Linked DNA regions of Kluyveromyces lactis. The protein of the gene in region 1 interacts with the protein of each later gene in a pairwise test. Links are inferred from orthologs where the notes say so. Each region holds a gene or a part of one and is shown on either strand. Other genes may lie near its edges. The genes, in order: SGD1, FAL1 and PLC1.

Evidence for each region.
Region 2: the proteins of SGD1 (region 1) and FAL1 interact in binary tests that used the Saccharomyces cerevisiae proteins (3 or more experiments, as listed by UniProt). The link is inferred for Kluyveromyces lactis from reciprocal best matches to the Saccharomyces cerevisiae genes SGD1 and FAL1.
Region 3: the proteins of SGD1 (region 1) and PLC1 interact in binary tests that used the Saccharomyces cerevisiae proteins (3 or more experiments, as listed by UniProt). The link is inferred for Kluyveromyces lactis from reciprocal best matches to the Saccharomyces cerevisiae genes SGD1 and PLC1.

Annotation. Positions count from the first base shown.
Region 1 is NC_006038.1:541,429-545,818, reverse strand, and holds the start of SGD1 (Sgd1p), read right to left. Parts: upstream 2,801-4,390; coding exon 1-2,800. Other genes in the region: protein-degrading AAA family ATPase MSP1, read left to right, coding at 3,329-4,390. UniProt on the Saccharomyces cerevisiae protein: Involved in osmoregulatory glycerol response, probably through its interaction with PLC1 which regulates the expression of GDP1.
Region 2 is NC_006037.1:926,485-929,748, forward strand, and holds FAL1 (ATP-dependent RNA helicase FAL1), read right to left. Parts: upstream 1,772-3,264; coding exon 575-1,771; downstream 1-574. Other genes in the region: ATG31 (Atg31p), read left to right, coding at 90-521; t-SNARE syntaxin TLG2, read left to right, coding at 2,079-3,173. UniProt on the Saccharomyces cerevisiae protein: ATP-dependent RNA helicase involved in 40S ribosomal subunit biogenesis. Required for the processing and cleavage of 35S pre-rRNA at sites A0, A1, and A2, leading to mature 18S rRNA.
Region 3 is NC_006040.1:60,233-64,643, reverse strand, and holds the start of PLC1 (phosphatidylinositol phospholipase C), read left to right. Parts: upstream 1-1,523; coding exon 1,524-4,411. Other genes in the region: KLLA0_D00660g (uncharacterized protein), read right to left, coding at 1-724. UniProt on the Saccharomyces cerevisiae protein: The production of the second messenger molecules diacylglycerol (DAG) and inositol 1,4,5-trisphosphate (IP3) is mediated by activated phosphatidylinositol-specific phospholipase C enzymes. Required for cell growth, osmoresistance and expression of GPD1.

The DNA.
Region 1 (4,390 bases):
GAACATGCTTGAAAGCATCAAGTTTCAAGTGACCTTCTGCTATTAAATGGCCAAAGAATCGGCCTTGCTTAGCCAATCTTTGTAATCTAGTGTCTTCATCAACAGTGTCTTCATTGCTGAACAAGGTATCTTCCTCATCATCTGAATGTGTCTCAAGCTCGAACTTCTTCACAATTTCCCAGAATAAAAACTGGAAAGACTTTAAAAGTTTGTGGTTATGCTCTGAGAGTTTTCCTGCTAATAATGAATAATATGGATTGTATCCGGACGATGTGCCATCGTTTGACAAGCAATGTAGCAGCACCCGTGAAATATCAAGACTCTGTTTACTCTTCAAGTTCAGCTTTTCTATCTTAGCGAATGCATCCAAATAATCCTCTGCAGACATTATGCTAACGAATATAGCTCTTCTCACATCAGTGTTCATCCTCTGTTGTTTCGCTATCTCATTCCAATCAATCATTTCAGAGAGTAAATCATCATCCAATTTTATATTTGTTTGATTAGCAATCGTTCTGTCTTCTTTGACATTAGCCTCATCGAAAGCAGTTTCTTGATTACCCTTCCATGATGCTCCAATTAACCACCACTTACCTTTAGAATCCACGTTTTTTATATCTTCTAGAGAAGCCAGCAAAGGCTCCGAAGATGCCGAAGTTGAGATGCGAAGTGATCCCAAAATTCCCTTTTTTAAAGTCTGATGATTGGCAGCAAGAACTGAAGGCTTTAACCTGTTATTCTTTAAATCGGACAGAGTTTCCAACAAAAAGTTTAGCCTTGGAGTTTGCTTCATCTGTTTAACGTTGGCCAATAGTTCCGTGATTATATCCTTTAGAGCTCTGGGATCATCACCACGTATCAAAGGGCCGCAAACAGAGATGATCCTTAACAGAAGTTCGGTTGTATATTCATTGGGTTCTTGAATTAATAGCTTGATGATATCATATATCAGTCTGCTGGAAACTAGCCCGAAGTTGTAGGAATAGCCCAGCAAAGTCAGCAAATTAGTCGTTTCCTTAGACAGCATTATTGGCTCGTCTGATTTTGAATTTCTAGCCGACTGTATCTGTTCACTATAAATCTCTAAGAATTTCTGGACCAATGCTTGAATAAAGGAAGCACCGGCTTCAGTTCCCCTTAGCTTCCATATACTGAAAGCTACACCAGCATAATTCATGATAAAAGTGTCCAATAATTTATTCTTCTGTGCAACAACCTCGATCATCTGATTGTTAATCGCATCATTGACGTATTGTCTTGCATAGTTATCATAGAGCTCGTTCAAGGAGGTAACAATTATAGCACTGTTTGAATCTGATAGTTTATTCAGAGCTGATTTAACTTTTCTTTTCAATTCCTTGTTAGTCTCCGAGTCAGATTCCTCAAGTTGTTTTCTTCTCAAGGATGGTGGTACGTAAGATTTATTCTCTTCGATGACTGGGGCGGCGTAAATGTTCTCCTTTTGCTTCGTGCGTGTAGATGATGGAGCGTTCCCCTCTAATTCATGAAGTTGTTGCCATTCATCTTCATCCAAGTCGTCTTCGTCGAATTCATCAAAGTCTCCACTTGATAACTCATCATCAGACGAAAATGGGTTTTCGATTTGTCCCTCTTCCGTTTGTTCATCTTCATCTTCATCATCTTCCGATATTAGTTCATCTTCACCATCGTCTGAGACATTGCTATCATCTTCTACATTTTCCTCTCCACTTTCATCATCTCCAAAGTCTTCAAAATACTCAAGACCCTCTAGTAAACCTCCAATAGCATCGTATTCATCTGTGGCACGCAATTTTTTACCGTTTTTCAAGCCCAACTTGCCAGCATAATATTTCATATCCAGTTCATCTCTTTCAATCGCTGCTCTGTCCTCTGGTGTTAATGGACTGTAAATCTCAGACTTTGATTTAGACTGTTCTTTCTTTCCAGACTCTTTGTTATTCTTATTAGAGCCTTTCTCTACAGTACCAGTGGTGGTAGATTTGGAAGACTTGGCTTGTAACTTTTTATCTTTCATTGCCTTCAAAGCTGCCATTGTTTCTTCTACACTCATTTCTTCCAAACCACTGTCGCACTCTTCATCATCATCCATATCATCGGCTGAGTATTCTTCATTAAGTATTTCATCATCTTCAGATGAATTTTGGGCATCATCAACTGCCATTTCACTTCCAGATGGGTTCACTTGTCGCTTTTTTTCCTTTAAAGCTTTGAGTTTCGCCATAGTTTCTCTAGCCGTAAGAGGTTCTTCTTCTTCTTCTTCTACTTCTTCATCGTAATCGTCATCGTCATCGTCATCGTCGTCACCGCCGTCATCCTCTTCTTCTTCGTCGCTGTCTTCTAATTCACGTAGTTGTTCCCATTCTTCTTCATTCAGATCGTCTTCATCGAAATCATCGAAATCACCACTTGATAACTCATCATCAGACGAAATCTCTTTCACCTCATTGAACTCGGAGAATCTGACTTGTTTTGGCTTGACTTGAATCCCAAGTTTTACTTTTTCTCTCTTAAGAGATGATTTTACGGCTGTAGAACCATTTTGTCTATCTTTCTTTGCTGATTCAACATTCAATGAAGTAGACGTTTTCTGAATATTATTTCCAGACCTCTTTATTTTCTTACTCTCACGTTCTTGTCTTCTCTGTTCTTTTCTGCTCAAAGGAGCTTTTCTTTTACCATTGCGTTGGACTTTCTTCACGTTAGGAAACTGATATCTCTTATCCTCTTCATCATAATTTTGACCCTTGAGCTCATCCAACAACACTCCCGGTAATCTGATAGCATGTTTCTTACTCATAGCTCGAATGTGTTGTCCCAACAATTGACGTTTGCTCTAATCTAGTAAGAGAGCTCGGAGTAAAATAATTAGTTACGATCTCTTCGAATTGGCCCTGGACTATTTTGACAATGATAGCAACAGAGCTAGGATAAGTAAATATGATGATTTTTCGAGAATATCAGCTGCAGTCTTCAATCAAACTGGTAAATTTCGGAACAAAGAAGCCTTGGTAACCCAATCCAACCCAGCTGATAGCGGTTTTGTTCAATAAACATACATGAAGCTCATCGCATGGTCTAAATTTTTCAAGTTCCACATTTTTTAAAGGTTTCTTTTTGAACTATTTGCGAAATTAAAGAATCAACACAATCGAACACATACAGTGATTGAACTTGCAAGTAACAAGTGGCAACGTCACACGGCGAGACCGAACAGCGATTACATCCATTGGAGAATACGTTTGATATACAGAAGCTCTCTGATAAGAAGCCATTCATTAACCAGGGAAAAAACTGATTTTATCATTCTTGCTACATTACAGGAAAAATGGCTCCAAGAATTGACTTAAAGACCATTACCGATTTATCTGTTCTCTTCGGAACTGCAATTTCAGTGTACTATTTGGTGAATAGACTACTAACAGAGGCTGAAGGAGGTCCTTTATCAGGTAACTCGAAAGAAAAGAAGGAGAGACAATCGTTAGTATGGCAAAGATTATGTGCTGCCAACCCCGAATTGGATGATGTCAGTTTGAATGCATACGAGCGTAGCGTACTTGCTTCTGTCATTACGCCTCAAGATATCGATGTTTCTTTTGAAGATATTGGTGGGTTAGAAGACGTTATCGAGGAACTTACAGAAAGTGTCATTTACCCTCTAACAAGTCCGGAAATTTTCTCCGAAAGTGCATTATTGGAGGCGCCAAAGGGTGTTCTTTTGTATGGACCACCAGGATGTGGTAAGACTATGATAGCAAAAGCACTAGCACACGAAAGTGGAGCCAATTTTATATCTATCAGAATGTCTTCTATAATGGACAAATGGTACGGTGAATCCAATAAGATCGTTGATGCCATGTTTTCTTTGGCTAACAAGATTCAACCATGTATCATTTTCATCGATGAAATTGACTCCTTCTTAAGACAGCGTGCTTCATCAGATCATGAGGTGACATCTATGTTGAAAGCCGAGTTTATGACTCTTTGGGATGGTCTTACCTCCAATGGGAAGGTTATGGTACTTGGAGCCACGAATAGGATCAATGATATCGATTCTGCATTCCTAAGAAGATTACCTAAAAGATTCCCTGTTGCATTGCCTAACGCACAACAACGTCATAAAATACTAAAAGTGTTTTTGAAGGATACAAAGTCAGACCCTCGCGATTTCGATTTGGATTACATTGTACAATGCACATCTCAGATGTCAGGATCCGATTTAAAAGAACTATGCAGAGATGCTGCACTTACTGCAGCAAGAGAATATATCAAAGAGAAACGCAAGCTGACAGAAACTGGAAAGACAGACAATCTAAGTCGCCTCAAAATGAGGCCCCTAACAAATGAAGACTTCTTGAAAAATCTCAAAATCGACGCTGGTGCAACATTT
Region 2 (3,264 bases), on another chromosome or scaffold:
AACATTCAGTCACTAATCTTTAGAGTTACTTGTTCTTTTATTTAATAATTTATTTATTCTGATATGTGCTCTCACAACTCCCAATAGCAATGGAAAGTCCGGTACTTCTAGTTAAAAACGCTAATGCTGCTACTAATGCAAGCAATCTGGGATTACTCGGACAGAAACAGAATTCGTATACTGTGGATGAGAATACTTGGTTCCTAAATAATATCAGCTTCATATTCGAAGATGATGATCCGAGCCAGCACGACGAAGATCAACTAGATTACGAAAATGTCATCATTATAGATAGTGAGCCGTCTGGCACGGTGAACAATGTAGAAATGCTTAGCGAACGGTGGCAGTTACTAGCTTTTGATCAAAACCCAAGAGATAATTGCATATCACTCACTGTCATGAACGAATTAAGTGCAGATTTGGGTCAGAATACTGATATTTCTGGTTTAGATAACCTGTCTAAGCTGTACCATGAGCGAAACGCTCAGATACGGAAACTACTCGATTCCATAGCTCCGTAAATTGTAGCATATGTATATCTATACATACATATATATATATATATCCCATAGTCTCACGACAACTCTTCTAAATTTGCAGGAGTTGGTTTGATCTTAATTCTATAGTGCGATTCGATCTCTTTCAATTTGGGTCTTTCCTCCTTCGTGATGAAATTTATTGCAACACCTTTACGTCCAAACCGTCCGGATCTACCAATACGATGGATATAGTTCTCTAGATTATCTGGTATATCGTAGTTTATCACCAATGAGATCTGCTGGACATCGATACCACGAGCCCACACGTCTGTCGATATTAGCACCCTGGCTTTTCCACTCCTGAAATCATTCATCACTTGATCACGTTCTTCCTGTTTCATGTCACCGTGCATTGAGGACACAGAGAAATTCGTCTGTGTCAACTTCCTGGATAACCAATCCACTTTTTTCCTTGTATTACAGAATATCACACATTGTGTTATCGTTAACGAATCGTATAGATCACAGAGTGTATCAAACTTCCATTCTTCCTTTTCTACATCCACATAATATTGCTTTATCACGTCCAAGGATATCTCATCCCGCTTAACCAATATCTTCACCGGGTCACTCATGAACTTCTTGGTGATCTCTAATATATCTTTACTCATTGTAGCACTTACCACCACGACTTGAATCGTCGGTGGTAACTTGGTGAAAATGTCGTAGATTTGTTGTTTAAACCCCAAAGTTTCTCCGAGTAGTTCATCTGCTTCATCGAGAACTAAGATCTTACAGTTTCTAACGTTCAATACTTGTCTCTTGATCATATCTAGTACACGGCCCGGTGTACCACTGACCACTTGACAATTTTTCGATACTTTCTTGATATCTTGTTGTAAGGCCTTACCTCCTGTGCACGCATGTGCTGTAACGTTCAAATAGTCTCCTAGGTTAGATATCACAGATTCACTTTGACTCGCTAGTTCTCTTGTTGGTGATAAGACCAATGCTTGTAACTCTTTGCTCTTAGAATCAATTGCTTGTAATAATCCAATGGTAAATGTGGCCGTCTTACCGGTACCAGACTGTGCCTGGGCAATCACATCTTTTCCTGAGATAATCTGAGAAATGGCTCTAGACTGAATGGATGATGGATATTCAAAGCCGTAAAAATATATGCCTCGTAACAAATCCGGTTTCAAGTTCATCGACTCAAAAGTGGCAGATACCTTGAGCTTCTTTGAAGTCTTAAACTTCAACTTCGAGTCATCATCTCTGTTGAACGACATTGTTGATGTGATGATTCCCTTTCTTAACAACAGTAACTCCCGGTTACACTTCACTTGGACCTACCGTTGCAGCCTCTATTTCAATGCATCTCATCGCATCTCATCTTATCGTTGTGCTTGCCAAATTTTCCATTTTTTAAAGGTTTTAAGCTGAGAACCGAAAGTTCAACAACACTTTAAGGTGTCAAATTACAAGTGTATGTAAATAACTGCAGAACAACTGGTCGAGTGGCTCGATCTAGTGATTATTTAGATCAGATTAGTGGTAGTGCGTGCTTTCTTCCCTTGTTTGCTTTTGAACTGCACCATGTTTCGTGATAGAACTAATTTGTTTTTATCCTATAGGAGAACTTTCCCCCATCAGAGGCTTTCGAGTACCAAGCATCTACGATCGAATAAAGATTTGGAGAACCAGCCATTCATTGGTAGTGACGATGGTAACAATGATGAAGATATGGTTGCTATGGATGATTTCTCCCGTCAATTACCGCCAAAATTTTTCGATTTAACGTTCCAAGTGGATGAGTCGTTATCTGCAGTAGATCAATTGTTGCTACAGTTGACGAAACTATATCAAAAGAACTCTTTACCAGGATTCCAGGACAATAAGCAGGATGAGGAGGAGATTGAGCAGATAAGTTTCCAGGTAATTAAGAGATTCCAAGAATGTTTTGGTGTTATCAAGACTCTTACGAGAATTAAGGATTCTCAATATTCGAATGGTAAGCAGCTAAGCAAGGACGAGTTAAGGATATTGGATAACCTAGAAAAGAACTACGCTTTGAAAGTGCAAGACAAATCGCAGAAGTTCAGAATATTACAGAATAATCATTTGAAGTTTTTGAATAAAGATGATTTCAAACCACTACCCACTACGAAATCAAGTAACGATACATTGATGTTGTTGGAGGAAGAAGTTGAAGGAGATGAAGTCAATAACATCGACTCATATTCAAAGCAGACTTTACAAAAACAGAATCAGAAGTTACAGGATAACAATCAGCAATTTTTGCAACAAAGAGATGAGGAAATTACACAGTTAGCGAAAGGTGTACTCGAAGTTAGTACTATTTTCAGGGAAATGCAGTCTTTGATCATAGATCAAGGTACAGTGGTCGATAGGATCGATTATAACTTAGAAAACACGGTTATTGAATTAAAGCAGGCCCAAAAGGAGTTAGACAAGGCAACGCACTACCAAAAACGGAGTCAAAAATGTAAAATTATTCTATTTCTATCTTTGGTCGTTCTAGCGTTATTCCTCCTTGTCATGCTGAAACCTCATCACCATACTATACGAGAATCAGCTCCTTCAAAATCTCACAAACCTCCTGGATCACAAGTGGAGGTCAATTCTCCTAATGGAGACCCGTTGCTGGATCCAGAAAGTAATGTAGAATAAAAATGGTCAAATATTAATGAACTTGCTTATGATGGAGAAACTGCATCGAACTTCGAAAACAAATTTTGATATCGTGATAGAAGTAAACGAC
Region 3 (4,411 bases), on another chromosome or scaffold:
CACAATTCTTTCCAGATGTGAAAGGCGCAATTCCCACCATATATGTTAATCTATCTTCACCAAGTGCATCAAGGTTCAACCAGTAAGAAAAGCCATTGCAACTTGTCTTGGTTGAGCCACGCTTAAGTGCGCCAGCTATATAGTTACAAACTGTCGCCATGTTCCGCCCTAATTTAATGAAGCTAGTTGTATTTATCCAAAAGTGTTCTCTTAACCATGCCTTTAAATTACCTCTTCTTTCGTACATCTTAATAAGGCTATCATAATGGTTAAACCACCATCCGTCTGAACATTGTTCATTACGTTTGGAGATATAACTATCATCATAAGATTTTCTAATTGGAGTACTATTAAAGAATTCATTTAACTTGTCATCAAGAACTACACAGTCGAGGCCCAATGCAGCAATGACGCTGCTAACATCTGATATATTATTTCTAATATGATAGTTCATAGTCTCACCTATCTTCATAGGTTCAATTGATTTAGGTAACATGTTTACTAAATTAACATACGTGGCAACGCCGTAATTGCCAATCATTGAATAGTTTAAAGATGAGTTATCGCGTAATATGTTGTATTTATCCCGAACATCAGTAGGGAGATTGTATGAGACACGGAAGTCATTGTGGTCTTCATAGAATGTATATTGAGGGACTGCGGTTGCAGTAGCAAGAGTAGCTAAAATAAGCAGTGCATAATAGTAAGCGAGAGTGAGTGACATGTCATTTTTTATGGGCGTACGTTTAACTTTGTAGATGACAACATATCTTCACTTCCTTTTGATGGAAGGGTTTATTACCAGGTCGGCAAATATGTAGAACAGTACTTATAGCGCATATGTTGAACTAGTGAATCTTGTCACGGAGTATTGTCCAGATACATATTTGAATTGGTGATGGCTTCTGAAAGAGACCAAATATATCAATCTATGTGTTAAAGGACATAACTGAGGTTCATGTCGTATCGCATAGAATCGGCTACTTCATTTCCCAGGAACATCCACAGGAAAGCAGTAGCCTCGGCAGGGAACACCAAGTGCATGCATAATTGATATATATATTCCAGAATATTCAAAATAATCATGCTGCTCATTAAATTAATCACGTGATCATGAGAAGTGCTTCAATTCGATGCGCCAGTGCATGAGACGGGATCTCGTATTTCTTGAACTTATAGATGGAGCTCCGCACGTGATCGGGATACTATTGCATAAGGGAGCTCTATGGTTGAAAGATACATTCAAAGTGTATCGATCGACTGTATTCACGTGAATTACGTTTTGAAATCCTAGTTGATCGCAAGACATAACCTGTTCTTCTTTTCCTCCTGTTACCTGGCATCATTTATTTCTGTGTCCTGTTTTCCTTTCAATATCGAATAAATCATAACCGTGACAAAACAGCTTTCGACTCTCTTATGTACAGGATCTGAACTCTGGGGTAAAATAAGCATACTGCTTTCAAGGTACCGTTTAAGAAGTGCTACAACATCTTGATTGCTACCACATACTCGGATACACAATGGATCCGTTTATGGTTTCCTGCTATATGATGACAAGTCAGAAACGTCTCGTTGAACCCTCGATGAGGCTTGAGTTCAACGATGTGGATGATGAACATCAGGCTATTATGCCACAAAGCATTTTGAGGAGCCTTTCTTTGGAAGATGGGTCCAATAGTGATATGAGCTCGAAGAGTACTGCTCCCTCCTCGGGAAGTGAGGAATCCTTTGTGTATGATCATATATACAAGGGCATCAAGGGCTTTCTTTCTAGAAGACCTAGTTTTAATGGGCATGGAAATTCTAATAATAACCCGAACAAAAATAAGACGTCCCAACTTGGTGGCCCTCTCACATATGCATTGTCGAGCAACCTCAGGTTAGAGTCAACGGATTCTGGGTTTGGGTCCTTCTCGGCAGATCCATTGGACTTGCCTCTACTTAAGGTGACACGACGGAAACGTGTTCGGTACACCTTCCATATAGACCAGAATACAATAAGTTGGAATAACGGAAAAAAGCTGATATACGTTGATACCATCAAAGATATACGGAGTGGTGATATGGCTACCAATTATATGGATATGTACAATGTTCCTTGTCCTTCACGGGACCTTTGGTGTACTATCATCTATTCAGTGAACAAAAACAGATTAAAGGCTTTACATGTTATTGCGGAGGACGCTGCAGTATTCAAATCTTTTTATGAAACGACAGTAAATTTGGTGAATTCTAGGAGGAAACTAATGGAAGATATTGCAGTTCCAAACAATGAACAATTCGCCAATATTCATTGGCAGACCAGTGTTTCCACAAAGAAAGAAGACCAGGACAAAGATACGTTAAGTTTCGCGGATGTGAAGAGACTTTGCAACCGATATCATATCTACTGTTCTGATAACTACCTTTACGCACTTTTCATTAAAGCGGACACTAACAATAACAGTTTGCTTAATTTCCCCGAATTCCAAGATTTTGTCAAGTACTTAAAAGCTAGGCCGGAGATTGAAATAATCTGGAATCAAATGAAAAATAAGGATACTAAGGTGGTTGACTTTCAAAGCTTTTACCAGTTCATATGTGACGTTCAAGGTGAAGTAATATCACAGACTAATGCTTATAAGATTTTCAAAAAGTATTGCACCGCTGATGAACTTTTAGATGTTGAGGGTTTATTAAAATTCTTAACAAAACAACCGTTCCTACAATTATTCGAAGAAGATTATTCTAGACCGCTAAACGAATATTTCATATCATCATCTCATAACACTTATCTTATGGGGAAGCAAGTGGTGGACGAGGTAAGTGTCGAAGCTTATACTCGTGCTTTGCAACAAGGATGCCGTTGTATCGAAATAGACATATGGCAAGGAGATCATGGGCCTGTGGTATGCCATGGTCTTTTCACACAGTCAATCCCCTTAGAAGATGTTGTTAAAACGATACGAAAATATGCGTTTATCACTTCACCTTATCCGCTTATTGTATCTCTAGAGATCCACTGTAAGAAGGATTACCAATTAATGATAACGAAAATTATGAAGGAAATTTTGGGAGATCTTATATTCGTAATTCCACCAAACACTTCACTATTATCACCAGAGCAGCTGAAAAATCGCATTATATTGAAAAGTAAGAAGACGCATGCTGTAGAGTCTGAAATTATAAGTGGATCAACTTCATCCTATACGTCTTCTTCCTCTCATGAATCACTTTCTGAAACAAATGACATGCGGTTAATCAAGAAGCGGGGCTTACAAAAAAGTACTACCAGTAGCACTTCTCCAAATACGACAACAGTTCCAGTGACAACAAAGAGAAACAACAAATCGTTATTGTTATCAACAAAGATCATGATATCAGACAAGGTTCATGAAATATCTGGGATTCACGGAGTAAGATTCAGAAACTTTTCGTTGCCTGAATCAAAAACCACTACGCATTGCTTCTCACTAAGTGAGAAGAAGTTTATCAATCTTGACAAAGATGAAACTCAAAAACTCGCTATCAACAAGCATAACCGCAGACATTTAATGAGAATCTATCCGCACATGTTGCGGTACAAATCCTCCAATTTCAACCCAATACGATTTTGGAAAGAAGGAGTACAAATGGTCGCAACAAACTGGCAGACGTATGACCTGGGACAACAATTGAACCATGCAATGTTCCAAGTTTCACTAGATAGAAATTCCATCTGGCATTCTGGGTATGTTTTGAAGCCCGCTCACTTGCGAAAAGAGATACATAAAATGAAGGACATTCCAGTAATTATGGAAAGGCTCAAACGGGAGAAGATTCATATCCATTTGGACGTAATTTCTGGCCAGATGTTATCCTTACAAAACTGCAAGATACTAGCACCATTCGTAGAAATCGAACTCATTACTGACAATACCATGGAATCACTTCACCTTACCAACTGCTTGCAGCCAATGGGGTATACTTCCAATAACTCTACCCATGCTACCGGAATTACTAGCATGAGTAATGCTTCAAATGGTACTTTTGCTAACATTACTAGTACCTCAACCAAGCGCGTTGATAGCAACGGCAGCAGCGGTAAGACTGAACCACTTTGTGAAAGTAATGGAACCACTGTTATTTCAGGTTTGTCCGCGGAAGACGGAATACTCAGTACTCCATCTGCTCCTCCAGCAGTATCTGTACCTGTCCTTAGTTCACCGCAACTATTTTCGACAAAATGCTTCCGTGATAACGGCTTCAGTCCCGTGTGGAATGCGTCGTTCGAGTGTACACTTACAAACACTACGTTCAACTTCGTGCGGTTTACAGTCAAGAACTCCACGCAAACTATCGCAACAACGTGTGTACGGTTGAATTATTTGAAGCAAGGGTATAGGCACTTACCGTTGTACAACATAAAAGGGGAGAAGTTCATATTCTC